Linked DNA regions of Arabidopsis thaliana. The protein of the gene in region 1 interacts with the protein of each later gene in a pairwise test. Each region holds a gene or a part of one and is shown in the gene's direction. Other genes may lie near its edges.

Region 1 (17,175 bases):
TATTCATCCATTTTTAAAAAAAGTTCTAAAATTTTCTAAAAACATTCAAAATACTTGAATTAAAATATGACATTTAGGGCTTGGCATAAAATCCAAAATTCAGAAACTGATTCGAAAAATCTGGTTCCGAAACCAAACAGTTATAAAATCCTAACAGATAAAGAATTCTCCAATTGAATATCCCAACCAAAAAGCGAAAGTATATCCGAAAACTCAAAATATAATTATATATCTAAAATATTAATTATAATTTAATACCAAATAACAAAAATATCCAAAATCATACATTTTTTACTTAATTTAACCAAATTTTATAAAAATTAAACCAATTTTGATTAGTAATGAACAAATTTTTAAGTTTTATTTTTTTCCTAAAACCGATTCGAAACTAAACTGGATGGTCATAAACCCGAACAAATAATAAATTTTTCTACCTCAGTTATCCGATCCAAAATAAATCCAAACCAAATCGGATGAGAAATCGGAATGTCCAGGCCTAATGAGTATTATATGTTAATGTGGAACTAAATTTTTATTACCAATTTGAGACCAGTAGTTTTGACATAGTACTTTTGGTGCTTTTTGATATTGATAAAATGTTGTGTGCTTTCATGTTATGTGCACCAATACTCCTCAGGTGAGGATTGGCTCTGGTTTCCTTTATAATATCAAATAGCTTAATACTCTTGGTAGAGTTAAATTCATTATAATGCTTTCTAGGTTGACCTCACACATCTTTTAGCTGCTCGAGATCAAAAGCTGAGGACACTTTCAGCTGAGATAAAACTTGATTCTAGAGCTTTATCTCTATATGATGAAGGTACAGCTGAGGTAGTACTTGACTCTGAAGCTCCATCTCTATATGAGAAAATAAAAACTCCATATATTTTAACAAATATAAATGTTTTTGTGAGCGCCTCCCTTGTAGATGAATTAACTTCAATATTTTAAGTTTGTTTGTGGTGGTGTAGTATGCATGAGACATCTGAGCAAACTCATTTGGAAAATAAGAATCAAAGCTAGGTTTTTAAGATAAAGATCATAGTGTAATATCTTTCTACTGAAAGAAGTTTGTGTAGTGAAGCTTTTCTTAACTTTTCTCTCTTGGAATCAAGATTTCATCTCTTCTCACTTTGTATATTTAAGTCCTTGAAACAAAAACAGAAAAGTAATGATGTTACAGAAAATTTATCAAAGAAAAAACAAAATAATGATAGTAGATGAAAGTAAGATGATAAAAAAAAAATCGTGTACAGTGAAGTTTAATTTAATGTAAAGTAAAGAAACAAATGGACTACTCAAGACTGCACAACCAGCTTCTGGAGATGCTCAAAGAAGACTTGAAGGCTCACGTCGTCTGTGAATATCACATCTGACCCTGTAGACATCTCGTTTGCATTGTTGTACGTCGCTGATGGATTCAGCTTCGCCAATAAAAACCTTGCCTGCATTTTCCCATTTGAATCCAATGAGATGTACAAACAAAATTGAAGCTGACAATTACATGAAAACAAATAGATAAGATTAATGACCTGCGAGCCATGCTGATCACAGACAACTAATCTTGGGACAGGGAAACGTTCCCGGACTATCATCTGGGAATCCTCTTGAGGAGCTTGCAATAACTCAGCAAAAGCCTATCACAAAAAAAGTTATAGTCAATGGAAGATTATATGTAGATAATCATTCAACTACAATGAGATGGTTCCGCATCACGAAAACAGCTAGTTATTAGTACCTGGTGTTCAGGCTGATGATGATAACCCATATTTCGCCATTGTGCTATAGTCATTCCATGGAAGACAACAACGCTAAAATATGCATCTAATAAAAGAATTCGATCGGCTGCAATGGAAGCCACATCTAGCAAAGCTGGTTCAGCTGGTGAATTGAATGAATATGTTGTTAACGACGGTTGGATCATGACAGTTGCATTCGAAATATTCTCCCGGTTTAGTAACATGCAGAAATATGCGGTTTCATCAGGGCTATTGTTAAATACCTGCCACCATCACAACCCCGGAAAAAAAAAAAAACAGGATACTAAGCTAATGATATGATGAACACAAACCATGAAATGTAAAAGTAGTGGTACCTGAACAAACTGCGATCGCCGCAGATTAAATATAAATTGAGGAAATAACGAAAAATAGGGATTCAGCGTGAAGGAGGCTGGATCATCCTTTCTATAGTCTCCAAATTTTGAACAAAGACGAATGAGATTCCGATCTAACCAGCGAGTAGCATCAAATCCCTCCTGTGGATAAAATATGATGAATTGTATATATAGACATGACTTAGTGATAAACCCTAGTTAACTAGTCCCTGCAGTATTTTCCAAGACACAATTTGGATCCTCCAAGTTCATATGACTAATATACAGCTGTGTGAACAATAAACTTTGAATCTCTTCTGTATAAATAGATAAGCATTTGAAATCCTAGGGACTCCTGTTGAGTATTATTCCCAAGGAAAGACACATATTTGAAAACATTTCCAGCATTAAGAGCTTACTCCCTCCACAAGAATACAATATAGCAACTACCAAACTGAAGTTTTCTACTGTGACGTACCTCTGACTCCATTTTCAAAGAAGCTAATCTAGCCATGACCACAGCAGCAGTTTCTTGGTCAAAGCCTTGCACAAGTTCCTGAAAAGTAAATAACCACCAGTAATATAAAATGCTTAAAATCACTAAGAAGCTTTTAGGCTATAAGAATCCTGCATTGCATTTTTGATGGTTATAGCTAAATGAGGACGAACCTCTGAACTCACAGCACTGTCTATCCACTGTCTGCATACAGTAGTAACCCGGAGCAATGTTTGACCTTCAGGGTTTTGATAACTGCAATCAAATAAACAACAGTAAATATGATACTTCGGACTATGATGCCCACAATGTACTGCAGAAAGGCACAGTTCAGGTGAAACTAAAAAACAAATAAAATTCAAGACTGAAACACTGCCCAAAGTACCTTGTGAGAAACTGCAAATAAAACTGTGGATTCGCAGCTCCAGGAGTATTTGACCCGCTTGAAGATATGTCAAAAAATATCGTCAAACACGTAGTTTTATCAAGGCCACACAACCTCCAAGCAGAAGTATTCCCCTCTCCGATAACCGTGTCAGCAACACTAGCACCTTTCTGAAAGGATCAAAATAAAATAAAATTTAATTTGATTAAGAACAGATAGCTTTGTTCATCTCACAAATCACTATCAATGCATTTTTGAGAGAAGTGGATCTTCATGTTTAACCTTCTCTAATGATGAGCATGGCCCAATAGCCCCTTGAATTTTGATGTCCTGTGAACAACAGATCTCAAGCGTCCCACTAGAAATAAACGATTCAAGGTCAGTTTGATGTAAGCACATAATTTAAATTCTTAAATACAAGCTTGAAGTGTATGATGCTTCGAAGGAAAGGTTATCACATTGCCAAAATTTTCTTTACTATGTAATAGATTTATCAAAGAGAGTGATGCATAAACAAAGTAGAAACTTACTTAAAGCAGAGGCCAAGAGCCTGATCGCCATCTTCAAATACTCGCTTGAAGGAATCTTTGAAAACAGAATGGCCAAAACTTTCAGACAGAACAACAAGGCCACCAGTTCTTTCAACTGCAACTTTCATCTCAGCAACACCAACCTAACTATATCCAAAATGCAACAGCGGAAATAATTATAATTAGATATCCAATAATAGTTGACAGCACGACAAGCTACAACAAGCAATGCCTTATGTTGACTAAAGACAACTACTGGAAGAAACACTGTAGAGGAAAACATCATCAAAAACAGGAAAATGAAGGGGTTTAACGATTATGGCCTAGATTTCATAGACTATTTATCACAGGCTAGTTAACAAAATTGAGGACAAGTGGGAGGCTTCACATTTTTTTTGTTTATATTGACCAACAGTTTAGTAAATCCCATTGCATATCAAGGCCACACTTCAGAGACAACAATAAAAGATGCATTCATTTTATAGACAAAAAAGTACTACACAAAAGATTTAGAATCCAGGCGTTGCAACTAATGCAAATTGAACTGCACAACCAAACTTGAAGAACTAATTCAGAGCCTTGCGCACCAACGATTTATAATTACGTCGCAGTAATACCTGATCAAGTGCAGAAGCAAAAAGGTCTAGAACATGACCCTGAGTGACTAGTTGCTTTGCGATGCTATCATAAAACTTGACAGCCTTCTTATAGTACGGAGCGGCATCTTTATCTAAATCTTTGTGAGAACGCACAGGATCCGACAAATCCTTTGAGACAATCTGTACAAAAGAGATTACAAATATGCTTCATACACATGGTGTGATCAAAGCTCACAATGCCAACAATCATCAACATATACTTACCGTTCCAGGGCCTTCCGTACATGGACCTCCGATCAAAGCTACAATTCTAGCCCCAGTTCCAGGCAAGCAAGCTCCAAGCAATCCTGCAGCTACACTCAATGCCACGCCTGTACATCGTTGGGACCGATGACCTGGCTTAACAGGCCACTGATCACTTTGTAGCTCATCCAAAAGCTACATACCAAACATCATTCACACAAAGATAGAAGAATCAGATGAAAATTTTCCGACTTGACAATCAAAAGCAAAGTCACTCACCGAGTTGAGTGTGAATTCGCACTCGGAAGCAGGCAACAAGAATCTATTCAAACCAGAACTCGGGAAGCCATTTTGAGGTCCTTTAGAACCTCCTCTCCTAGAAGAACCACCAAGCCCCAACTGATCCAAAATCTGATCTTTCGAAATCTCTTTATCTCCTTTAAAAACAAAAACTTTAGACATCTCAGAGAATCCCAATTCATGTACATGAGCCTGAGTACCAAACGACACAAATCCAACCAAAGCATTCTCCGGAAGCAACCCAATCGCTTGTTTAAGCGCCGATTTAGCAAAATCCAATTCTTCTTCAATCATACAAGTATCAAGAACAAACACAAACACCGGCGGATCCACCAGACCTTCCCCGTTGGCTACAGGCGGAGGAAGAGTGTATTCAACAGTAGTGTACTGAGGATAAAGCTCACCAGGAAGATTAGTCTCAGAGATCACATGATAATGAGGCGGGAAATGATTACGCTGATAACAAAACGGACAGATCCAAAGCTTTGCGGTGAAATCGACTTGTGCGTAAGCGTTTAACGCAGCGGAACAAGTCCGGCATCGGAGCGGTGCGTAAGGAAGAGTAGGGATATCGGCATGTCGCCGGATCGGAGAAATGCAAGCGGCGAGTGGGATCACGCATTTGCTAGCTTCAGCTTTGGAATGAGGCCAGACGTTCCATGTCATACGAACTCCATCGATTCCTTCTAGATCTGTATTCGCAGTCTCCGCCATTCGTTGGAAGCTTTTAGATCAGATCAGAGAATTTGAGTTTTTTTTTTTTTTTTCCTTAATGAAGAAATTGAAAAATCTCAAAATTCTTTGGCGTTATTTTTTAGGAACTCTAACGTTGACTGAGTATCAAATATTTCTATTTTTGTGTGTCTATACTCATTTCATTTTAGTTAGGATCGAACTGAGATCGTAGAAATTGAAATGGTAAGTCTAATTACTGATTTGTATTCCTAAGCTCAAACTTGAGTTTTTTTTTTCTAAAATAATTTTTCAAAACTTTGCTCCCATGATCATCTTTAGCCAGTTTCACCAACTTATCTTCATCACACTTCACAATCTCCTTCGAGAAGATCCCCAAAGCCACCACCGACTTACCGTCACCGAGAAGCTTCTCCACAACGTTTCTCCCATGTTTATGATACGAAAGCTCGATGCAATGCCATTGAAGCATACATGCGATGGTGTCCGTAATACGCTCGTTGGACCAATGTGTTTCCCACTTCCCAGTGTTTCCTTTGAAAGGGAGAGAGATTTAGTTTTTGGATTTCATACTTCACTTGAGAATAAGGTCTTCTTTTCTTGAAAACTTGTATGAAATATAACACGATGAGATAACCGAATTTATCGGTTCTAATATCGGTGAGCCTTTGCTTAATTGCTTCCAAGAATGTTGTGTCGACTTCTTCTGATTTTCCTAGGATTATTTGAATCATGCATGAGTGAGCCTCGCATGGTTTTGGTAAAGTCGATAAAAAGATCAGAATCTGATGCCAACTTGGAGGCAATCCTATGGAGCTCTACTATGTTGGAACGCGAGAGAATGTCATCAAACTTAGCCATTATCTCGTGCAAGTGTGGTCATGTGTGATTTTTCGTGTAAAATCGAGCTTAAGCACATGTTGGATCAATGAACTTCCTAATAAGAGAGCGTTCTTTGCGATTAGGTCAAGGAAGTAACCTTTGAAGCGATCTTCAGCTATTGATATGACTCTTTTGAGTACACAGCAACCGAATACGTCACCCGCTAAGTCAAGGATTATTTGAATCATGAGCGAGCCTCGCATGATTTCAACATAATAACCATGATTTCAATACAATTATGAATTAAAGTGATATATTTTTGTAGTCTACAAAATTATGGTTATTATTGTAATACAACACAATAACCATGATTTGAATCGACTGTTTAAATTTGGAGTTTACCTTCATTGGGCTTCGTTTATAAGCCCAACCCAACACAATCTAAAACCTCACGTGCCACGTGGGATAAAAATATCCTAAGAATAAATAACTCAAACGGTCGAACAAAATCATGGGCCCTAATTTGATCTTATCCGTTAGATCTATCATCTCACGATCAACGGAGAATAGATGAATAAACATGTGAATGCGTTCTCGATCTAGAAATTCAAAATTCTCGCCATTAACGGCTCTCTCTCAAACTCTCAAACTCTCTCTCTCTCTTCCCTTCTTCTTCGTTACTTTGCCCGAAACACTGACTGTTGCAGAAGCAGATTTAATTCTTCTTTAGGGAATCTTCGAATTGGTTAGCGCAGAGAGATGAAGCATTTCATGATGCCAAGGAACGCTATCTTGCGTGATATCGGAGAGTCACAATCGCCAAACCCTAGCTTGACGAAATCGAAGTCACAAAGGAAGATTAAATCTTCTAAAGAGAATGCTCCACCTCCGGATCTGAACTCGTTGATTCCTGATCATAGATCTTCTCCGGCGAAATTGAAAAGTCCATTGCCTCCGCGTCCTCCGTCGTCTAATCCTCTTAAACGGAAGCTGATTGCGGAAGCTACGGCGGATAATGGAGTAGCGATTGGGGTTTCAGACTCTGGTGTCAAGGTAGTCTGAGCTTTTTATTTTTTGTTTTTCTTGCTCAGAAATTGGAGAATGTTCGAAGGAAAAATCCTAATGTCTTGGATTAATTGGTCTAATTAAGTTCCAGATTTCTATAAATTAACAAAATGAAGATGATTGCTTGTATTTTTAGAAGTTTATAGTTACTAAATTGAAGAGAAACTATATTATGTTTTCTGAGTAAAGTTTAAGCTAATCTCTAAGTCTTTGGGCATATGTAGGTTATAGTAAGAATGAAGCCTCCAAGCAAAGGTGAGGAAGAGGAGATGATAGTAAAAAAGATCTCCAACGACGCCCTCACTATTAATGAACAGACTTTCACATTCGATTCGATTGCTGACCCGGAGTCAACACAGGCAGGCATTTAGTTTTCATGATTGGGGTTTCACTATACAATGTTATCTTATGATTTATATAGGCTAACAAGTCTTTATCTTTTTTGTATTCTTTGCAGGATGAGATCTTTCAGCTTGTTGGAGCCCCTCTTGTTGAGAACTGTCTTGCTGGATTTAACAGTTCTGTTTTTGCCTATGGACAGGTAGTCATCATTTCTCAATCTGTTTCTACGGGATTGAATTTCAATTTCTCAAGATGATTGTAATTCTAACATTTGTTTTCACCAGACTGGCAGTGGGAAAACGTATACCATGTGGGGTCCTGCAAATGGATTGTTGGAAGAGCACCTTAGTGGTGACCAAAGAGGTTTGACTCCACGTGTCTTTGAATTGCTCTTCGCCCGTCTCAGTGAGGTGATGCTTCGTGTTGTTTCCTTTCAGTCTGTTTCATTATGTGAGAGAGGCAGAACATTCAAAAGTTGATTTTTTTTGTTTGCAGGAGCAAGCAAAGCATGCTGAAAGGCAGCTAAAGTACCAGTGCCGCTGTTCGTTTCTCGAGGTTTAATGAGTGGATTCAACTTTAGTTTTTGTGCTTATGATGTTTTCATTTATCAAAGCTTGATATACATGGTTCCCTTTCCCATCTTTTATTGCAGATATACAACGAGCAAATAACAGATCTTTTGGATCCGAGCCTAAAAAACCTGATGGTAAAAGGAACTTGCAATTTCAACTTGTTTTTACATTTTTTAAGGAAAAAGAACCTGGGTTCATCATTTTTAATTAATATTGCACCAGATTAGAGAAGATGTCAAGTCCGGTGTTTATGTTGAAAATCTGACTGAGGAATACGTGAAAAACTTGAAGGATTTGTCAAAGCTTCTGGTTAAGGTTTGTTATATCATTATATTTCATGCTTTTCTACTTTGACAGTAGAGTAATTGCTCAAACGTACGTACACTTGTGTTTCCATTGCATTTCTCCTTAACTTTTAAAAGATGGGTGCACAACTTTGGTTTGTTATAAGAAAAAGAGGTCACACTACAGGACTTGGTAATACTGTGTATTGGACTTAAAAGATCTTTATATCGCCAAAGAAGTGTCAAAGTCTTGCAATAGTCAATCTGAGCTATTTTGTTGCTTTGCTTTGACATGAGTATCTTCAATAGTAATGCTTACATCTGAAACTGGTGCAGGGATTGGCAAACAGAAGGACTGGTGCAACAAGTGTAAACGCAGAAAGTTCAAGGTCGCACTGTGTATTCACTTGTGTTGTCGAGTCCCACTGCAAGGTGGGTTGTTCTCCTTTATTTTATTGTGCCTATTTAACTGGCAACTGCAAGTTTTAAGAATAGGCTATGAGGCTCAGATGCTTACTAGTCTAGCAATTATTATGAGGTGATGTCAATCTATATCTGACTATATTTGAATGTAATATGTAACAGAGTGTTGCAGACGGTCTAAGCAGCTTCAAAACAAGTAGAATCAATCTTGTTGATCTGGCTGGTTCAGAAAGGCAAAAGTTAACCGGTGCAGCAGGCGATCGTTTGAAGGAAGCTGGGAATATAAATCGATCACTTTCCCAACTTGGGTAAGATCAGAATAGTCTACATATAGATAGGCTGCTTATTGATTTTCTTTTGTATAGCATGCATTTGAATCTGGATTTTCTGTGCCGGATGTTTTATCTTGACATTTTACAGATGTGATGCTATAGTCTGAAACTGAGAATCGTAGATAAATGTAAAACTTACAAGTGTTTTTACTTGCAGGAATTTGATCAACATTCTAGCAGAAATTTCACAAACAGGGAAGCAAAGGCATATACCCTACAGAGATTCCAGGTTGACATTTCTATTACAAGAGTCTCTAGGAGGGAATGCAAAATTAGCTATGGTTTGTGCAGTTTCTCCCTCGCAAAGGTAAACCGAGAACCCAAATTTCTCTTTCAGAAATTATTCCACCCTCCCTCCACTTTTCTGCAAAATGAAATTGCATCATAAATTGCAGTTGTAGGAGTGAAACCTTCAGCACCTTGAGATTTGCTCAGCGTGCTAAGGCGATACAGAATAAGGCAATTGTCAATGAAGTAATGCAAGATGATGTAAATTTCTTGCGGGAAGTGATACGCCAGCTGAGGGTATGCACTCTTTGGATTATCTCAGAAAATGTAAATACAAAGTTGAATATAATATCTAATGTAAACTGTGCAGGATGAACTGCAAAGGGTGAAGGATGATAAAGGAAACAACCCAACCAACCCAAATGCAGCTTATACCACTTCCTGGAATGCGCGTAGAAGTCTGAGTTTGTTAAGAAGCTTTGGCCTGGGTCATCCAAAGTCATTACCAAATGGAGATGATGATGGTGATACTGAGATGGAAATTGATGAGGAGGCTGTTGAAAGGCTTTGTGCTCAAATGGGCTTGTCTCCACCTGCCGAGGACAACAATCAGGAGATGAGCAGAGTAGAAAAAATAAATTCATCATTACAGACTGTGGTCCTGAAGGATGAATCTTACAATAACTCCCACCTTAAATCATCAGAAGCTACAGATGTTAACATGGAGGATGCGTGTTGCCAAACTGAGAACAATGGGTCAGAGACTGATAATGCGTTAACTGTGGCAGAAACTATGGATGATGGTTCTAGTGTACAGCCTGATTCCATAACAAATTCTCTTCATTCTTGTATTAGCGACACAAACCAGGGAAATTCACCAAGCAAGGCGGAGAACATTCCATCATGCCAAGACTTGGTTATAGAAGCTGATGTTTCTGCAATTGTATCAGTAGCTGATACATCAAATAATACAGAACAGGTCTCAGTAAATCCTGTGTCGCCTTGCCTTAGCGTCGCTCCAGTAAGTGTTTCTCCTGTACTAATACCTCCCACTGAGAGCGCCTCTCCTAAGATTAGAAATAGCAGGAAAAGCTTGAGAACAACATCAATGTCCACCGCATCACAAAAAGATATTGAGAGAGCCAACCAGTTAACTCCAGAAGTTGTGGAACCGTCGCCAGCTATGTCCACAGAGGTGTTAAACCTATATAGTGCTTTGTCTACAAAGAAAAGTGAAGCTTTTCCTGTGCCAACTAGGCAATTGGCAGCTAGCCTCCACAGAGGCATGAAACTTCTTGACTCATATCGCCAGAGTACAGCTCTTAGACGATCGACATTCAGATTGTCCTACAAAGCTCTAGAATGCAAACCCTCGACCGTTTTAAGTAAGGCTGATGTAGGTGTTCAAACTTATCCCCAAGCTGATGAAATAGCGGAAGACAACTCTAAAGAAGTACTGTGCAGTAGATGTAAATGCAGGGCAGAATGTGATGCCCAAGAAATAAGTGACACTTCTAATCTTCAGTTGGTACCTATTGACAATTCAGAAGGTTCAGAAAAGTCTAATTTCCAAGTTCCTAAAGTAAGAATTGTGGCTTTCTTTAGAGCATTTCGTTCCGCATTTGTATAGTGTAATAGTATGATATGATTTTTCTGCACCTTACAGGCAGTGGAAAAGGTTCTAGCAGGGTCAATCAGAAGAGAAATGGCTATGGAAGAGTTCTGCACTAAGCAAGCCTCTGAAATATCACAGCTTAATCGGCTGGTATGATTCTTGCTTATGTTCTGTTGGTCAGCTTCTCTACTTTTTACATATAAAGGAAACCTTTCTAATTATCTCTGGAAAATTAAACAGGTGCAACAGTACAAGCATGAGAGAGAGTGCAATGCTATCATAGGACAAACAAGGGAGGACAAGATTGTTCGCCTTGAAAGTCTCATGGATGGCGTGTTATCTAAAGATGATTTTCTGGATGAAGAATTTGCATCACTCATGCATGAGCATAAGGTAAATTTTTGGGTTACCATTATTTAGAAGTTTATTGAATCAATGCAGATATGTTTTCTTACATATAATTGTGCAGCTTCTGAAGGACATGTATGAGAACCACCCCGAAGTATTGCAGACGAGGATTGAGTTGAAACGAGTGCAAGAAGAGCTCGAAAGTTTCAAGAACTTCTATGGTGACATGGGAGAAAGGGAAGTATTATTAGAAGAGATTCACGATTTAAAGGCACAGCTACAATGTTACACTGACTCTTCTCTTACATCTGCTCGGAGAAGAGGTTCCTTGCTTAAGCTGACATACGCTTGTGATCCTAACCAAGCTCCACAACTTAATACCATTCCTGAGTCAGTGGACGAGGGTCCTGAGAAGACACTAGAACAGGAAAGACTTCGTTGGACTGAAGCAGAGAGCAACTGGATCTCTCTTGCTGAGGAATTAAGAACTGAGCTTGATACCAATAGATTGCTAATGGAAAAGCAGAAACGTGAATTGGATACAGAGAAAAGATGTGCTGAAGAGTTGACAGAAGCAATGCAAATGGCAATGCAGGGTCATGCACGGATGATTGAACAATATGCAGACCTGGAAGAGAAGCATATCCAATTGCTTGCAAGGCATAGGAGGATTCGAGAAGGAATAGATGATGTCAAAAAAGCAGCAGCAAGAGCCGGAGTCAAGGGAGCTGAGTCTAGATTCATAAACGCACTTGCAGCAGAAATTTCAGCTTTGAAGGTGCAAAGAGAGAAGGAGGTACGATACTTCAGGGATGAAAACAAGAGTCTCCAGTCACAACTAAGAGATACTGCTGAAGCTGTTCAAGCAGCAGGAGAGTTACTTGTTCGATTTAAAGAAGCTGAAGAAGGATTGACATTTGCACAGGTACTATTATAGTTATATTTCTAAAATCTCACCCATATCCTATCATGTGACTCTTACTTAAACTTTCTGGCTTGTGTATTCACAGAAACGAGCAATGGATGCAGAGTATGAAGCATCAGAAGCATATAAAAAGGTGGACAAGTTGAAGAGGAAATACGAAACCGAAATCAGCACTGTAAACCAACAACATAATGCAGAGCCACAAAATCCCATAGAATCTTTGCAAGCTTCTTGTAATGACGATGCTATGGCCAAATATGATGAACCATCAGCTAGTGATGGTGATAACCAATGGAGAGAAGAATTCCAACCATTTTACAAGAAAGACGAAGAGTTGTCAAAGCTCGCTGAACCCTCTTGGTTCTCGGGGTATGACCGATGCAACATATAATTTCGTTTCCACAACATTATTTTTCTGTAATGTGTAATAGGAAAAAAAAGACATGTTGGGGTCTGATCCGATTCTGTGAGATATATCTGAAGCTTGTACTCTTTTCATTGTATTTCTAATGTGTTACAATTAAACATTTTTTTGTACTCGTCCATCTCTCATCTGAAAGAGGTCTTTGTTTGATTCCCTGTAAGAGATTAGTAGAGATAAAGAATCTGGAAGATGTGTTTCTTATGTTATGTTGTACAAACTCATTTTACAGTTTGATTTGTTCTCAACGGCACAACTCTCCTCGATCGTCACCGTCAACATCATAATGAGTAAAACCTTCTCTGAACATTCTACGCAATCTATGCGAATAACTCGTTGGCATCAATGTGACTACTTGTACAATCAACTCTGTAAATCATATAACTATTGAACACTGTACATCATTTGTTGTACATATGAGAAAAGAAATAGATTTCATTGTTACTAATTTTTATTTTAAAACATCTTAGCAAATCTTCATCATGATGCACATTAAGCTGGAAAGAAAACAGGTTTATGAAAGAAGAGTAATAATGTTCAAAGAGAAGAATGAGTAAATGAAAGACATACATTAGGCATTGTAAATTGAGTCTTAATCATCTCGTTTTCTCCTTTTGCGTTACAAACTCACTTTACAATTCATACATAATTTGTATTTGTCCATCTCTCATTTCAAAGATGTCTTTATTAGATTCCTGTAAGAGACTTTGATTGATCACATAAATAGAGATAAGGAATCTGAAAGATGTATTTCTTATATTAAGTGCTACTAACTCATTTTACAGTTTGATTTGTTCTTAACGGCACAACTCCTCGCTTTACAGTTCATTCGTATGAAAATACTATAGACGAACTAGAGAATACGCATGATCCAATCATCGAATCACGGGATCTGAAGAAAGGACTTAAAGAGTAGAGTTTTGCTTAGAAAAAAGCCAAGACCAATACAAGCTAAGACTAAGGTCCCTTTATTTTTCCTTTCATTGTTCTGTTTCCTAGATTCTTCAAATATGTGACTACTTCTACAATCCATTCTATATTGAACTTCTGAATCCCTTAAGTGATCGCAGCCAATATATCATTTGTTGTACATATAAGAAACAGAAATAGATTTCTTTGTTACTATGTTTTGTCATTAAACATCTTAGCAAATCTTCTTCAAATTTTATGATAGTAGAGTAATCTTGTTCAAAGAAAAGAATAAGTAAATGAAAGACATTACATAAGGAATTATAAATTGGAGTCTTAATCATCTTGTTATCTCCTCATGCATGTTGCTCTCATGGATTCGTTTCAAGTAAGACAAGTCTCGACATGTTTTCATCATATCGAAGCTTCTCCAATTCGCTTTCTTCTTCCCTTTCCCCTCCTTCAGGTTGCTTGATTTGCACTAAACTTGGAACATAAGAGCACAGATCTGTCTTACATCTTTGGTCTCCATAATCTCCAACGAGATCCAATGCCCTCAAGTATCCAGCCTCTCCAATGATGTTAATTGTGTGGCGATTCCCATCTTCAAAACCAATGGCGACTTTCTTCTCCTCGTCAATGAAGAAACTTCCATTTATAATAGGAACATAACTATCAAATCCAGCTGTTTCCACTCTCAAGAACTTGCTCCACAACACCTCTCCAGTCTCAATCTTGGTCGTAATCGATAAGTCAAGCTCATATGGATTTGATTCATCGTGCTGAAGTAAAACCGCAAGCTTCTCTTCTCTAACACAAGATAACGTCATACAGTCAATATGCCCACCACTAAACGGCAGAGGCAGAAGAGGACCAAATCTCTCACTTGTAAAATCAAAACAGATTAAGCGATTAGCAAAGACTTCATTTACATCTACGTTCCTTTTTGCAGCACACCAGTACGTGCTTCCCTTAAGAGAACGCCACTGTTACAAAACGCTATACGCAATGTGGAGTGACATCAAGAGTAGTCCACAAATCAGAGTCAAAATCGTAGATTTCATACCAAAAGAATTGCTTCTCGTGTGCATTGTAGTAATAATCTATCAACCTCAACAACTTGTAGTTACGACAAGAATCCGTATTCACGTATCCAAGAGCGTAAGAGAACCTGCACATATTCACGTATACGATTAACTTGCAAAAAGTGGAACGATTTATCCAAAAGTCAGAGCTTTATGAAGATGCACATTGGTCAAGCCGCAGCAAAGGAAGGTGAGTCTCAGATGATCGTGATGATGGGTAACAATCTTTCTTTAACGAGTATTATTCTCAATGGAGATCCATCTATAGAGCATAAAGGAAAACTTCCTTGCCTTGACGAACAAGTCAAGATATCTCAGTTCTATCACTGCGAGGGCTTACTGCTATGCATTTTAAAAGATGATTCTAGGTTTGTGGTTTGTAATCCGTATTTGGAGCAAACAAGGTGGATCGAACCAAGATATTCCCATCGTCCACACGGATGGGATAGGTTCTCTTACGCTCTTGGATACGTGAATACGGATTCTTGTTGTTACTACAAGTTGTTGGGGTTGATAGATTATTACTACAATGCACACGAGAAGCAATTCTTTTGGTATGGAATCTACGATTTTGACTCTGATTTATGGACTACTCTTGATGTCACTCCGCATTGGCGTATAGCGTTTTGTAACCGTGGCGTTTCTCTTAAGGGAAGCACGTACTGGTGTGCTGCAGAAAGGAACGTAGATGTCGATGAAGTCTTGGCCGATCGCTTAATCTGTTTTGATTTTACAAGTGAGAGATTTGGTCCGCTTCTGCCTCTGCCGTTTAGTGGTGGGCATATTGACTGTATGACGTTATCTTGTGTTAGAGAAGAGAAGCTTGCGGTTTTACTTCAGCACGATGAATCAAATCCATATGAGCTTGACTTATGGATTACGACCAAGATTGAGACTGGAGAGGTTTTGTGGAGCAAGTTCTTGAGAGTGGCAACAGCTGGATTTAATAGTTATGTTCCTTTATAAGTGAAAGTTTCTTCATTGACGAGGAGAAGAAAGTCGCCTTTGGTTTTGATGGACGTAACCGCGAGAGAGTTATTGTCATTGGAGAGGCTGGATACTTGAGGGGATTGGATCTCGTTGGAGATTTTGGAGACCAAGAATGTAGGACTGATCTGTGCTCTTATGTTCCAAGTTTAGTACAAATCAAGCAACCTGAAGGAGGGGAATCGAAACAACAAAGCGATTTAGAAAAGTGTCGATATGATGAAAACATGTTGAGGCTTGTCTCACTCTAAGCGACAAATCAATGAGCTTTGATAGGAGGAAGGAAAAAGGAGCCAACGAGATGATATTACTCTATTATTACGCAGAAACAGAGCTTTTATTTCAAGTCTTGAGTTAATGAAACTGAAGATTAAGATCATGTTCATGGTTCATTCTTATCTTTCTTCATCGATAATGAGCTAGTCGCTCAATCTTTTTCTTCTGGAACTTAGCTTAGTGTACCTTAAAATGCAATATTAGAGTCTCATGAAGTCAATTGGGAACGTATACGAATCGAAAGAGAGAACTTCTGTAATCAACCACTCGTACTCTCAATCTTGTTTCGTAAGAAAATGTGAAAAGAATATAAAGAAGTGAACAAATTTATTCCTGTTTCTTACAAGCTTAGAGCAATCATAATACATAACGATTGTAAAACAGTACAGAGAAAAGTTCTTGTCATATTTTTACATACTTAATCTGAAGTTTTCTTGTTTTTTTTTTGTTTAAGGTTGAGAAGAAATCAACAGAGACACAAGCAAAGAAGCAACGATTGTAAACATTAAAATTCCAATATGATTCACTCCGTTACTCATCACTACTTGGTTTTCTGTATGTACAACAGAGATAATAATCATAGCTATGGACTATGGTTCAAGCTTCATCTGAAGCGTTGGCTCAGAACCTGCAACATAAAGATACGAGACTTTAACAACATAAGAGATAGTTCTATAATTTCGATAGACGAATTTGCTTCTAATTTTTCTTACAGTTGTTGTTGTTGTTGTTGCTCTGTTGCTGGAGGATATCTCCAAAACCCATCTGAACAATGCTTTGCAGGTCATTATTTTCCCAGAATCCTGGTGTCTATAATGAATCAAAAACATAAAAGGATCGAGTTTACGATACGCACAAACGAGTTTTTCTAGAATCTGACGTTAGCTACTACTAAAACTACCTCAGTGTGAACAAATCCATCGTTTGAGGGGAATTGTGTGTCTGAGAATCTTGGCATGTTCTTGCCAAGTGAATAGTATGCTGATGGAAGTCTTTGCTCTGAGCAAGCCATTGCGTAAAGAGACTGCGTTAACGACTCCCCCGGTTGAATCATCTACACATACAAATACACACATTATAGATACAAAACATTCCATAATCTGACCATTCCATTATAGATACAAAGCAGAATCTTACCTCTGTGGATAAAGAAGCATTAGCATTAAACTCCATCCTTGGATTTACGGTAGCCAGCTTCAT
Region 2 (14,025 bases), on another chromosome or scaffold:
AAAAAAAACAAAAACATTCTATGCATGCTTTCTTGAAATTCAAGGTATTCCAATTAAATAAAAACTACAACAGAAATTAGGGTAATAGAAAGAAAAAACCGAACACTTAAACTAGAATATGAATAATGGATTTAAAAAATATACCATTTTATTATATAAAATACAATAAAGAATTAATTTTACAATTAATTATTAATCCTAAAAGAAAAAGAATTCTAAATACTCACCTCTATATAAACTAAACAAATAATCTGTTATGTTCTCATCAAACAAATTAAAAAGAACTTTAAAAAACACCATCAATTGATACAATAAAACATGCAACGATTTGAATGGATGAATAATTCAAGCTCCGAGTTAAGCAGGAAGTTCCGTGAAGATAACGTCCAAGTTGATGAATGATTTATATTTTCGCCAAACAGATTTTCCATCACCAAAAAGTAAGGTGTCATTTTCGATAGGTTTGCTTGGGATATGTTTCTCAAGACTGTAGACGGAGACATGTTTGGTAAGAGATTTTCTGAATCTCAGCTACAATGATGAGAATCAGAGAATACTCAACTTGCGGGACGAACATGTACAGCTTGGAGAGGAGTTGCGGCTCTTGAAAAGGAATATATGCCTCATTGTGCATGATATCTGGGGGAGAAAGATGCTTGGAATTCTCTGACATAGGTTTTCTTGTGTGTTAAGCAAAACCTTTCCTCTGGTCTATCTGAACCAATAAGTATAAACCTGAGAGAGAAGAAAGAGAGGAAATAAAGTTCTATTTCTATCAAAACGCCATATTCAACACACCAACGCATCAAAAGCTTTCTACCAATGAAAAAATTCTGGTAATTGAATTACCGTAATTCCCTACACAAGTCACATGTGTAGAACCAACAACTCGATCAGTCAAAACTTATTTCCCTCTCACACTAACGTTGGTGCTTTCATGATTACTCGTATTGTGTGATCTAAGAAGAAAAAGGTTTCAATCCTATATATTTTTGAGATTCAGTGTATATTTTACTCGATTCAATGTTTTTGAGATTGTGATATATTTTACTCGATTCAATGTTACTTTTTTTTTTTTGTAATTATAAGAGATGACAAGAAATATAACAAAAGAAACAGCTATGCAGCTTGCTCTCTTGAAATTCAAGATATTTCAATTAAATTAGATTTAACAACTACAACATAAAAATTAGGTCAAACAAAAAACCAACACTTAATTAAAATATGAAAACGAAAACATAAGTAATTAAAGCAACTAAATATAGGAAGATAGATGTAAGCAAGCTACACAGGAATCATTATTCCCATAGTCTTATGCTGAAAATTGAGAACAATGAATTTGTTTTCAAACTGATCCCAATAGAGCTTCTGAACATCGCCTTCTACGAGATCTAATGAATGCTTCATAGTACTCCAACCAGTCCCGAAATAATACTTCATGTCGTCAATTCTTTTCAGGGTAACTGTGTACAGATCGTCTTCCATTATGTCGTGGACTTGCACTTCAAAACCGTTGTCCAAACCCTCATCTGTGACACCATTCATCCTCGTGAGGACAGACATCACTTGCGCTTTTGGTAATGCCACATTACCAACAATGTCACTCTTTGTTAGAGTCTTTGATATGATCATAGCCCCGTCTAGTTCATCTCTAGCATAATTCATCTTGCTAAAATTTTAACCCTAGATCTTTTGCAAGTAGAAAGAAAATTTGTTTATATTTCGTGTTCTTAGATGTAAACATATTTATAGGAGGCTTAACCCAAGAAGAAAGGAAAATACAAGAGAAAAGGACTCCAATTCTTCCGTTAACAAAATAGAAATTTTTCTTATCGGAAAAAAGGAGATTGTTTAATAATTTCCTTAATACTCCCGAAACGGAAAATGGCAAGAGGGCATTGTAACTTGGAAAGAAAGTTATTGATTCAAGGCATCAAAATGAAGCTCAGATTTTCTTAACATTTTTTGCTAAAATGTTAATATTCATATAAATGAAAGTTCGGACTTACATATTGGAGTACCTAAAACAAATGTAATCTTGACAAAAAAAAGGTAAAAACAAGATTACAATAATTTTGGAAAAGATTTGGGTAAATCTATCGGATCCATCGAATCATTAACTTCTTAACTTCGGAGAAGAACATTGAGTACATTGATACATCTCGCAGTCATATGGCAGAAAGAGTAGAAGTTTCTTTTAAGAGGTAACTACCACCAGATCCTTGGAAGTTGTACTACTGGCCATGCAAAATCTCTTAGTTTCATTAAAAGTTTATGTAAATTATGGTTTTTAGTTCTAATTGGCTAAAACACATAACACTAATTCCTTAGAAGCCACCATAAGTGTTTTCTTAATTATAAGGAACTAGTAAATCAAATTACAAGCGAAAAAGTCAAAAATCATATAATCTAATGTTCGTCAAACGGATTGCCTAATGTTCGATTGAAGAAGTCTTCTCTGCTATTCACTCGAGACTAAGTTAAATCCTGAAATCAGATGGTAATCAAACGGATTGCCTAATATTCACTCGAGGCTAAGTTAAATCCTGAATTGTTCTAGCGAATCGAGAATATAATAAGCTGAGAATTTCTTACCTCTCAGTAATGTATAGTTCCTTAAACCTAGCCGAGGTTACATCTAAAGTTACATTTTTGAGACGAGAGATCATGGGATGGAAATCATCATCAATCATATATTCATCCAACAAATCCGGCTCCTGCAAACAAACAAATAAACAGTGATTTCCGGAACTTTTGTTACGCCATTTCTATGACAAGTTATATATAATGAACTTACATATATTGACATGACGGCTAGATAAAGTTTGATAGCTTCAATATTCTTGAGGTAATCGTCGTCTTTTAAAGATGCTAGCCACCGGTCCCAATGCTTTATCTTCATTATCACGTAATGGTTTGGTCCTGAACAAAGAAAAAAAAAACATATGATAAGATCATAAAGAACTAATGTCACAATGAAAACTGAAAAGCAATTTGAATAAGTTAATTAATGCCAAAATCAGATAAATAAAATCGTTAGTCATTCTCATTTTCACAGTAAAAATATGAAACACAGAATTATTAATGATGAGACTTAAAAGGTACATACATGTTCCTCCTATGATCCGAAAAATTTCTGAAATGCCTACAAAATTTTGGAGGCTATATATGCTCATCTTTATTATATCAATCCAAAGTGTAGCCACTTTCTCACCAAAAGAAGAATCTCGAACAGAGACTTTAAAAACATTAAACATCGGATCAAACCTATTAAAACCCTTGTTGAATCAATTTAGGTGTTACATCTTTGAGAGAAACAGTAACCGAAACAAATTAAAAATTTTACTTGGAGGTGGGGGTTTACATGCACGTGCTTTGCATTTCTTCTTCAAGCCTAAAGCAAACGCGGACGCATATAGCAGAGAAGACGTCTGCAATATGCTTTCGTGTGCAAGCAAGTATGATTTTGGCGGTTGGGAAGTTTTACAATCGTTTGATATATATCATGCACGGGTAAATGTATAAACTACCGTATCCATAAATTATTATCATATTAGTCATTTTTAATTAATCGTAAATAAGAAATAAATAATAAATTTAATTAAAATTTAAATTAAATTAAATAAACGAATAGTAGCAAACATAAATTAACTGTTCGGTTGATGGACGTTAACGTTTCGTCATCTTTTAAAGATATATAAATTTGCTTATTTTATTGTGAATTTGAAACCATTTCCTTTTGCTTAAGATTTCTTAATGATATCACTACAAAATTGATGAGTTTAACATCAGTTTAAAAAAAAATCTTAATATCATTTTTAAAATGATGCTCGAATTATAGAGTCATTTTAAAAAGAGATACTAAAACTAGTGAAGGTAAAAAATATTTAGTATCATTTTTTCAAATGACACTATAATTCAATCTTAGAACATGATTGGTTGGGATGTAAAAGATTTATAAAGCCACTAAAAAACCTACAATCAATATTGAAACAATCATGTTTTAACTTTCCTATTTTTTTCTCACACCCCAAATACTATATATTTATATATATATTTTAATTATTTTGGCTGTAAGTGCAAGTTTTTCTACAGCATAACTTTAAGATTTTTAGAAGGTCTATATTTTTTTTATTTTTTTTTTCACTTTATTTTTTTATTTTCTTTAAAAATATTACTATATTTTATATATATATATATATTAAATTTAGTTATATGGATATAAATAGTAGGTAAATACCTACTTTATGACATATATAACTCACATTGATAATTGGGAATAATATTATATAAAGTATAATTTACCAATAATATTTTTTTATTTAAAATACATACTATCAAAATCTTATTTCTACAACTAATTTATTTAAATAATTATATTATATCAATAAAATATACATCCTAATTTTTACAACAATAAACCCTACGACTACAGTCATCACACCTACATCAAAAATTTTATAGTAATAAATCTATAACTACATACCGACGAACCAATCACCCACTTAACATCATTTCTTTTTGTTAGTATCATTTCTTAAAACGTTTGTATAGATATTGCTAGGTGTCACTTTGAAACGATTAGAAAATATATAGTTTGTTTCATAATTTGAAATTGACGTTAATTATTATAATATTAGTTATAAGTTTTTTTTTAATGTTATGAATAATAATCGGTGATTTATGTGGAACAGTGGAAACAATATTTTATTTATAATCAAAATAATATTTTAGGAACCAATTTGGAAAATGATAAATAATTTATATTTTTGAGTTCTTTTGTTTTTAAAATAAACCGGAAATTACGACTTGTGGTTTGTTTTTACTTTTTTATAAGGTTTGAGAGAGAGAGAGAGAGAGTACACACTACTCTGACTCAAAGATTTTTCCCTCTTTTTGAATTTCAAAAGTTTCCGAGAATATCCAAACGCAGAGTTTATCTCTCTCTTCAACCATCGATCCAACGGATCTCTCCTAGTTTCACCGCCGAAGACCTCCTCCGCTGTTTCTCGTCGCCGACTTCCCAGTTCTACCATCTCCGGCAGCCACCACTTCGCCTATTTTACGCATTTTCGTGAGCCACGGTTCAATATTCTTCTTTACTATCTCAAATCTTCGATTTCCCCGTTTACTCGCCAATCAGGTTTAGGATCTGCATTTCAAGCTTAATTTGGATGTTTCCAGTTTTTCGATTCGCTACTTTTTGCTTATGCTAAACAAGAAATCGGAACGGAACCCTAGTTTAGAAACTAGCTTTTAATCGAATTAGACTGAATATAGTAGACTCTCCCTCAATTCTGCTTATTTGGGTCTGGGTACCGTCATTTTACCGTTTGAAGCTAAAACGGTGCTTTATTTGACAGATAAAAAAAGCCAATCGTGTTCAGATATGGGTGTCGAGGATTATCATGTGATAGAGCTTGTCGGTGAAGGATCTTTTGGGAGGGTTTACAAAGGAAGACGCAAGTATACCGGCCAGGTAAATTGTTGCTGGGTTGTTCTCTTTGTTATCATCGGCTACTTAAAATCAGCTAATCAATTCTTAATTTGGTAATTTTTATCAGACGGTGGCGATGAAGTTCATCATGAAACAAGGAAAGACTGACAAGGATATACATAGTCTAAGGCAAGAAATCGAGGTTAGCAAGTTTCAGTCCTTAATTGCACTTACCATCAACTTTAATCCCAATCAATTTTATGGTATTTGACCAACATTATTTCTTTTATGCCTCAGATATTGCGGAAGCTCAAGCATGAGAATATCATTGAAATGCTCGACTCCTTTGAAAACGCACGAGAGTTCTGTGTCGTCACTGAGTTTGCCCAAGTACTTTTCTCACTGTAGATTGTAGAATCTAAAGTACTGATTTATGAAGCATATAGCTAGACTTATATGAAATAAAGAATCACCATGGAACACCCAATTTTACAGGGTGAATTGTTTGAGATTCTTGAAGATGACAAGTGCCTTCCCGAAGAGCAAGTTCAAGCAATCGCAAAGCAATTGGTAACACGTTTTGCCAACATGGCTCTTATTTCTATATCTGATTATTAAGACAATTTTGAAACTTCTTTAAAATCCAGGTAAAAGCATTAGATTACTTGCATTCCAACCGTATAATTCACCGTGACATGAAGCCACAAAACATTCTTATTGGTGCTGGCTCTGTCGTTAAGGTAATATAACATTCCTTTTGCTGCTTCCAGTAATTAAGTTTGAAATGCTGTTTCTATGCTTCCCACACACATGAGTTGTTCATATTCTTGTTTCTTAAAGATAAAATTTAGGAGAGAATTATCGTTACAATACGATTCTTCTACTTTTTTCCTCTTCTTATGAGTACCAGATTACGTGCTAACTTCTTGAAAATTGATTTATGAACCATGGATCTTTCCGTCTATGATTATTTCAGAAAACTAAGTTAATCATGTGAGTACTAGAAGAGGATACGGCTAGCCAGGAATCTCATACACTTAGCTAAATATAAGTAGAAACATAAGTATTTTCAATGCGGCTTGATTATATGATTTCTTTAACTTCTCTTTGCCATCAACTAACTTGTCTCCCCTTTGATTTTTCAGCTATGTGATTTTGGTTTTGCTCGAGCTATGTCCACCAACACTGTGGTTTTGCGATCCATTAAAGGTTAAAGATCTTTAATTTCCTTAGACGTATTAATGAGTGAATAAATCAATAAGTCTCTCCTTGTTATTAATCCAAAATATCACATCAGGCACTCCGCTGTACATGGCACCAGAGCTTGTGAAAGAACAGCCATACGATCGCACTGTCGACCTGTGGTCTCTTGGTGTTATATTGTAGGTGGAGAAACTCATCTGAGTTGTCGTACTTCAATTGTTATTGTTATGAAAGCTATTACATCTATAAATGTGATGATTCTGATGGCTTTTCTTTCATAGTTTTTTGTTTTCTGTATTCTTTATGTTATCCACATTTCAATGCACTTGATATGGTTCTAATTAATCTCTTGTAATACATCAGGTACGAGTTATATGTAGGTCAGCCTCCCTTCTACACCAATTCTGTGTATGCTCTCATTCGTCACATTGTTAAGGTATATCAATATTTTTTTATTTTTCCATAGTCTATGCTTAAAGTATGAGCTAACGTTTTAGTGAATCTTCAAGGATCCTGTCAAATATCCTGATGAAATGAGTACTTATTTCGAAAGCTTTTTGAAAGGATTGCTCAACAAGGTGATATATTTATTTTTTCTTTAAGTTGTCCTTTTTACCATTTATTGATATGTTTGAGACCATTGCTGGACTGGGTTAAACTGTTTTTCTATTACTATGCGAAACAGGAACCCCACAGTCGATTAACCTGGCCTGCTCTTCGTGAGCACCCTTTCGTTAAAGAAACACAAGAAGAAGTTGAAGCCAGGGTAATGGTCTGATATTGATGACTTATACTTTGCAGCTTGAGTCCAATGTACAGAGCATTTTGTTAAAACTGTCTTTTTCATGCAATGTAACGGATCTCAAATTAAAACATGTTGTTGGAATAATAGATCACTAAGAACATTTTGAACGCCTATTCAGGAAATCCATACTGCAGTAGTTGACAATAAGGCAGCTTGGATGCTCAAAGGAAATGGAGGGCAACAGAGAAATGGTTTGAATCTCTTCAGTGTGTGGTTAGAATCTATTTCTTAATTAATTTTCTCCTTTATTAAATTTATAGTGTTAAATGTCACAGAAAAGTGCGACTCAGTGACCCTGGTTGAGGACATGTCTGCTACAAAAGGTCTAGCTGACGTTCAGTCAGATATGAAGAGTGCTGTCAAAGTAAATTCTCCACCCACTGAGGATTTTGTGGGATTCCCAACCCAAGAGGAGATAAAAAGTTCAGGTAGTGGGACTTTGAGAATCAAAAGAGTTATCCAACAGATAGATACAGTAATTTGAGAAATGCATGTTTAGATATATTTCTGATGATGATTTCCATATCAATCTAACAGACATATATTCGGATATCATCCTTTCATTGTTGGTTATGACCAAATGCATTTTTCTCCTTCATCAAAGCGTGTAGTTAGTATGCTCTATTGTTCTAGGTTTACAACTCTTAGAGCTTGAGTTTTACTACGCTGTCATGCTATGCTTGATGTTTGTTTAGATTAACACAACTCCTATGACATAAGGATTTTTTTTTTTTTGAACTTCAGGTTTTGTATATTTCATATATAAACCCAGTTCTCCTTTTGTAAATTTTCATGTCTTAAAAGATTAGTGTCGGAATATTCACATACATTTTGCTATCCGTGATTGAACCTTAGCTGCCTTCGGAGTTTCTTTTGCTTTCTTTCATAATGGACCTATATATCATTCTCATTCATGCTTGGGTTGTTTTCCCCGTTTCAGGTAACCCAACACTGGACAAATTGGAAAATACATCCCGCACTGTTAAAGGTGCACAAGTTATAGGTGAAAATGATAAAGCATTGGACCTTGTTTTGCTGTCACTGGAAAGATTTTCAAAATCGCCAGATTCTAAAAGGTAAAATTTGGAGTTCTTTTATTATATAATGTTGTGCTCCTACTTGATCATACAAACGGGAACAGAAATAGGTTTCTTACATAAGATAGACTCTAAAACACGGTTGCAACTTTCTGGTTTTATGATCTATTACTCTCTTCCAGTAAATTGTTGTATATTTCCGCATACATGCATATTCATATTTTCGTTCATGGGTGTGCAGGGACAAAGATGTTGCTTGCTCTGTTCAGTCCCTCAGGATCATCTCCAATTTGGTTGCAACTCGTGCCATAGTTTCAGTTGGACTGATTGAGAAAATAACATGTGCACTGCTAGACTTTACTGACGCTCTTGTTGGGATGAAATCACCCGAGTTCAACAACATAATACCAAAGGTGAATCCTCTTGACCAAAATGTCTGTCATGTGTTGGATTAGATACCTACTTTATTTGATAGTCAGCCTGCTTTCCACAATTAACAAGTAAAGAAAGTTCAATGATTTGTAACACCGACTTATTTCTTTATCAGAGTCTTTCAGTCACTAAAAACTTGGTAGGGCATGTTGAAGGCAATAACATACATAGTTCTTACATCAGGCACTGGACCAAAGTAGTGGAAATCTTCATACAGGTGACTTTTTTGGCGCATAAGTCTCTTGTGAGATTAAACCACATGTACTAATTTTTTACTTTATGTGGATGTAGGTCGTTAGATGGGAAGAAGAGGGAACTGGTAGAATTATATATGAGGCCTGTTCTTGCATCACAACAATGTTATCTCGAGTTGCCCAAGATCTTAAATCTTCAACTCCTGATTCTGTTTCTAAACAGATTTTGGAGCATGCTAACATGTCTCGCATAGTTGATCATTTGTGTCTTTGTCTGGCTTCTTCTGGGTCGAGTTTAACTTCCGGCTCTTCGCAAATGTTAGCAGCTGCCTGTGAAGCTTGTCGAGCAATATGGATTCTCATAGATACTTCCGAAACATTCTTCAAGAACGATGATGTAAACATATTACCTCTAGATGCCTTGCAGAACCGTCTCTCTCAGCATGACATAGGAAACAGTGAGTGGGGTCCGTTATCTGAGAAACTTGTCGATACAGTGACAAGAGCATATCTCCGATCAAAGCATGTGCAAGTTGCTGTTGGTCATTGCCTTCACCAACGAGTGGAGGCTCCATTGGTTTCTGCAATTCAGGTGATTATGTGATGCTTCTCTTCTTTTGTGGCTATCTTAACAAAAAATTTGTGGGTTGTCTCTGGATTCACAGCTATAATTGAATTTGTGTTTTTTTTTTTCCGCTCTTTAAACTTAACTGGAAACTACTTATGTAATGCTCCAGCTCTTGTCAAGATGCTGCCTTCATAATGGAATTCTGCCTAGCATGCTTTGTGGTCTTCCCAGTTCACTGCCTATTACGACCGTAGTCAGTGGTGGAGAGGATGGTACAGTTATTTCAGAAATATTTTCTATACTATCATACGCAACATTATCAAGCAAAGACCAGCAAACAGGAGAAAAAGATAACTTCGAGGGCAGACTAAACAATCTGGTGTTCCATTCATGCCTTATGTTGGCAACAGTTGCTCAATGTTTGAAGTTAACTGGGAGAAATTCTGTTCTGTTAATGCTTACAACTTCTCCAAAGAAGCATCAACATCGTCTTTCTGCTATAGCCAATCACATTGCCTCAGATGATAAAATCGAAGCTTCTCTTCAGAATCACTCTGCTTCAGCTATGCTTGCTCTCGCATCTATTCTCGCTCTTGAAAAAGGATCTTCTGCTGGATCTTCTGTCTCTGAGCTAGTGGTGTCTCTGATTCCTCGAGCTACTAAGCTTTGTTATCATCTTAGGCCTATGCCAAGTAATGAAGGTGAAGTCATCTCTCATTCTGCCAATTATGCCAAATGGCACGGACTTCTGGATGGATGTATCGGTTTATTAGAATCCAGATTGAAGTGGGGTGGACCTCTAGCTGTGCAGCAGCTTATTGCTAGTGGTACGCCATTGCTTCTCATAAATCTGTTAGCTGGCAAACTTTCAAATGCTTCCCCAGAGGACATCAAGAAGACATCCAACCGGATTGGCTTGTCCCCTATTGGCGTTGTATGGACTATTTCGTCCATATGCCACTGTCTTTCGGGTGGCACAACTTTCCGTCAGGTTCTTGTGAAAATCGAAACCATGAAGCTAATTACTTGTTTACTATCTGATGCTCATATCAAGCTAGTAAAGAGCTGGGGAGGTCCGGGGGGAGGAAAAGATGGGGTCAGAGAGACAATAAATGTGATAATTGATCTCCTAGCATTTCCTTTTGTTGCTCTGCAAAGTCAACCAGGTTCGTTATCTGCCACAGCTTCTGTAAATAGTGGATTCATTCTCAACATTGGCTCTCCTGGTGTGAGAGTATGCATGGAAGATAGAGATTTGCTAAAAGCTATAGAAGAGGATATGGACAAATACATAATAGTCCTCCTGGAGGTTAGTTCGTCGATTCTGTTTCCTTGATTTTTACATACTTTTGTTTGAATGTTGATTGGTATCTATTTGTTTTCCTCTCATGATTCATGAGCTGAAATCTCGTTATTGTTACAAGCTGTATTTTTTAAATTTTTTTTTCAGGTGGGAGTGCCGAGTTTAATCCTACGTTGCTTGGATCATTTGGAATTAAAAGATTTAGTAAGGCCCGTTGCTTTTCTTGCCAAAATGGTGGGTCGTCCACGTCTTGCTGTAGATCTCGTGAGCAAAGGTCTGTTAGATCCTAATAGAATGAAAAAATTACTCAACCAATCAAGTCCAAGAGAAGTCATACTTGATATTTTGATGATCATATCTGATCTATCGAGGATGGATAAGGTAAGCGTTTTATAATTACGTACGATGCATTCTTTTTGTTACCTATGCTTAGACACAGTACAGTGAAGTAAATGATGTTATCTAATTTGGAACAATTGTTAACCGTACAGGCTTTTTATAAATACATCGGCGAGGCTTCTGTTTTACAGCCTTTGAAAGAATATCTTACCCATGTGGATCCAAATATACGTGCAAAAGCTTGTAGTGCTCTTGGCAATATGTGCAGACACAATGGATATTTCTACAGCGCTCTTGTAAGTTACAGCACTAAGCTTCTTTTACTATGAGAGGTCAAACTTTTCATAACAGACTGTTCTTTCTTACATGGTCTGCGTGGTTACTATGTGCAGGCGGAACATCAAATCATCGGTCTCCTCATTGATCGATGCGCTGATCCGGACAAACGAACACAGAAATTCGCTTGTTTTGCTGTAAAATCATCAAAAAACAGTTTTTTATTCTCCACTTCCATGATACTTCTGATCAAATTTTAAAAGAGGCCTTTTGCATTTTTCTTTCTTTTTGCAGATTGGAAATGCGGCTTACCATAACGACACGCTGTATGAAGAGCTAAGAAGATCTATAACGCAGCTAGCAAACGTTTTGACCACGGCTGAAGAAGACAAGACAAAAGCAAACGCGGCTGGTGCATTGAGCAACCTTGTCCGAAACTCCAACAAACTCTGTGAAGATATAGTCTCCAAGGGAGCTTTACAAGTTAGTACAACTGCAGATTATTTTGTTAGGTCAAGATACATGGATTTTTCTCGTATCTAATTTCACGTATGATGTTGGGATTTTGTGTGCAGACGTTACTGAGGCTAGTTGCGGATTGCTCGACTCTTGCCTTGAACCCAAGCAAGAAAGAGACAGCGAGTGAGTCACCGCTCAAGATTGCACTCTTCTCATTGGCTAAAATGTGTTCGAACCACCAGATTTGCAGACAGTTTGTGAAGTCATCAGAGTTGTTCCCGGTCATTGCAAGGCTTAAACAATCCCCTGAGGCTAACATTGCTCACTATGCTTCAGTTATTGTCGCCAAAGTCAGTGGTGAGTCTTAAGAAAACTTACTTCCCTGTAAATTTATTGTGGTAAGACATCGTATGTTTACATGGTAGTATTGTTATTTACGTTGAAAGTCTTTAAGAAAATGGGCCAACGATCTAAACCGCAGTAAACCAGATCAAATTACTTTTCTTTAAACAAATTGCATTGCATTACAAAGTATATTTAGATTCACTAAAACAACGGAATATACACAAATATACTGAATTGGTGAGTACTGAATCGGTGACACATATGAACACGAATATACTTATTAGCTTATGGTATTGTAAGCACTAAGCAATGGCAACTTTGAGGAATCAAGAAATATACAACTCAGCTTGGCCGTCAATAAAGAGACTCATGAACTCTTCACCGTCAACAGTTTCTTTCTCGATCAGGAGCTGTGCAAGCTTGTGTAGGATATCAATATGAGTTGTTATGATCTCCGTTGCTCTCTTGTATGCCTTCTCAACTAACTCTCGCACCTCAGCATCTACAATATCCGCAGTTGCCATTGAGTAATCTTTCTGTGATGACATCTGCAAAAACATTTCACGGATATATATAAGTAACACTCCAACTTGTCGAACCAACAACCCTAATGATGAAACCGAGAAAGCAATATACTTGTTGACCCATGAAGGGATTTCCACCAGGGCCACCAACAGCAACTTGTCCAATCTTTTTGCTGAACCCAAATCTCTCAATCATTTGACGTGCCACACGAGACACCTGCATGAAATCATTTGATGCTCCAGTCGTCACATTCTCATCCCCAAAGATCACCTCCTCTGCAACCCTGACATAGCCAACACAACAGAGATAGAGATGGTTTAACATAATTAAACCCTTCTCTGTATATTCAAAGACTGGCTTTTGTGACGAGGCGTGGAGGCCATTACTAACTAACCTTCCGCCAAGTGCAACAGCCATTTGATTCTCAAGGTAGCTCCTACTGTACAATCCAGACTCAAGTCTTTCTTCGCTTGGAGCAAAAAAAGTGAGCCCACCAGCTTGGCCACGAGGAATGATAGAAATCTTTGCAACCGGATCATATTCTGGCATAAGAGCACCCACTAGAGCATGACCAGCCTCTGTAAATTTAAAATTCATTTGAGGTGGTCAGAAAACAAGAATCCCAGCTGCGTACTCCATTACATATAGTTAGATAAAATGCTAACCATGGTATGCAACAAGTCTCTTCTTCTCTTCAGAGACAACTGCATTCTTCTTCTCAGGTCCAGCAATGATCCTCTCAAGAGCATCAGAGATTTCATCCTTGCTTATTTCCTTAAGCTCACGCCTAGCCGCAAGAATCGCCGCTTCATTCATCAGGTTTTGTAAGTCAGCACCCGTGAAACCAGGGGTCCTTCTGGCAACCTTGTCAAAGTCCACATCTTTACCGAGTGCCTTCCCCCTAGAATGAACCTAAAATAAAACCAAACCCCATAGAGAGAAATAAGAATCATTCACATAACTCCATAGACAAACCAGTAACCTTTATAAAACAGCTATGAAAAGAACCTGAAGAATCTTGACTCTGCCAGCCACATCAGGCCTATCCACCGTGACCTGTCGATCAAACCTTCCAGGCCTCAACAAAGCCGAATCAAGAACG

Evidence for each region.
Region 2: the proteins of KINESIN-12B (region 1) and FU interact in a two-hybrid assay, tested with the Arabidopsis thaliana proteins (one study listed by BioGRID).

What each region holds. Positions count from the first base shown.
Region 1 is NC_003074.8:8,512,368-8,529,542, forward strand, and holds KINESIN-12B (phragmoplast-associated kinesin-related protein), read left to right. Parts: upstream 1-6,768; 5' UTR 6,769-6,922; coding exon 6,923-7,216; intron 7,217-7,452; coding exon 7,453-7,587; intron 7,588-7,685; coding exon 7,686-7,769; intron 7,770-7,854; coding exon 7,855-7,980; intron 7,981-8,065; coding exon 8,066-8,125; intron 8,126-8,222; coding exon 8,223-8,276; intron 8,277-8,364; coding exon 8,365-8,457; intron 8,458-8,762; coding exon 8,763-8,858; intron 8,859-9,011; coding exon 9,012-9,157; intron 9,158-9,338; coding exon 9,339-9,488; intron 9,489-9,576; coding exon 9,577-9,706; intron 9,707-9,779; coding exon 9,780-10,991; intron 10,992-11,075; coding exon 11,076-11,174; intron 11,175-11,264; coding exon 11,265-11,417; intron 11,418-11,493; coding exon 11,494-12,297; intron 12,298-12,382; coding exon 12,383-12,688; 3' UTR 12,689-12,922; downstream 12,923-17,175. Other genes in the region: AT3G23660 (Sec23/Sec24 protein transport family protein), read right to left, coding at 1,299-1,445, 1,533-1,637, 1,739-2,002, 2,096-2,257, 2,401-2,450, 2,546-2,651, 2,765-2,846, 2,977-3,146 and 5 more; AT3G23680 (F-box associated ubiquitination effector family protein), read right to left, coding at 13,999-14,593, 14,694-14,806; AT3G23685 (F-box associated ubiquitination effector family protein), read left to right, coding at 14,872-15,615, 15,702-15,950; AT3G23690 (basic helix-loop-helix (bHLH) DNA-binding superfamily protein), read right to left, coding at 16,566-16,603, 16,689-16,785, 16,877-17,029, 17,113-17,175. UniProt on the Arabidopsis thaliana protein: Plus-end directed kinesin-like motor enzyme that plays a critical role in the organization of phragmoplast microtubules during cytokinesis.
Region 2 is NC_003070.9:18,601,674-18,615,698, forward strand, and holds FU (kinase family with ARM repeat domain-containing protein), read left to right. Parts: upstream 1-4,837; 5' UTR 4,838-5,143; intron 5,144-5,363; 5' UTR 5,364-5,389; coding exon 5,390-5,479; intron 5,480-5,564; coding exon 5,565-5,639; intron 5,640-5,734; coding exon 5,735-5,827; intron 5,828-5,932; coding exon 5,933-6,007; intron 6,008-6,084; coding exon 6,085-6,177; intron 6,178-6,582; coding exon 6,583-6,646; intron 6,647-6,734; coding exon 6,735-6,819; intron 6,820-7,003; coding exon 7,004-7,076; intron 7,077-7,149; coding exon 7,150-7,218; intron 7,219-7,325; coding exon 7,326-7,406; intron 7,407-7,563; coding exon 7,564-7,636; intron 7,637-7,720; coding exon 7,721-7,873; intron 7,874-8,385; coding exon 8,386-8,521; intron 8,522-8,723; coding exon 8,724-8,895; intron 8,896-9,029; coding exon 9,030-9,131; intron 9,132-9,205; coding exon 9,206-9,700; intron 9,701-9,845; coding exon 9,846-10,985; intron 10,986-11,126; coding exon 11,127-11,360; intron 11,361-11,470; and 9 more. Other genes in the region: AT1G50220 (B3 domain protein), read right to left, coding at 1,285-1,669, 2,596-2,717, 2,798-2,902; FTSH1 (FTSH protease 1), read right to left, coding at 12,725-12,946, 13,035-13,206, 13,318-13,501, 13,589-13,835, 13,932-14,025. UniProt on the Arabidopsis thaliana protein: Plays a role in conventional modes of cytokinesis in meristems and during male gametogenesis but also acts in nonconventional modes of cytokinesis (cellularization) during female gametogenesis.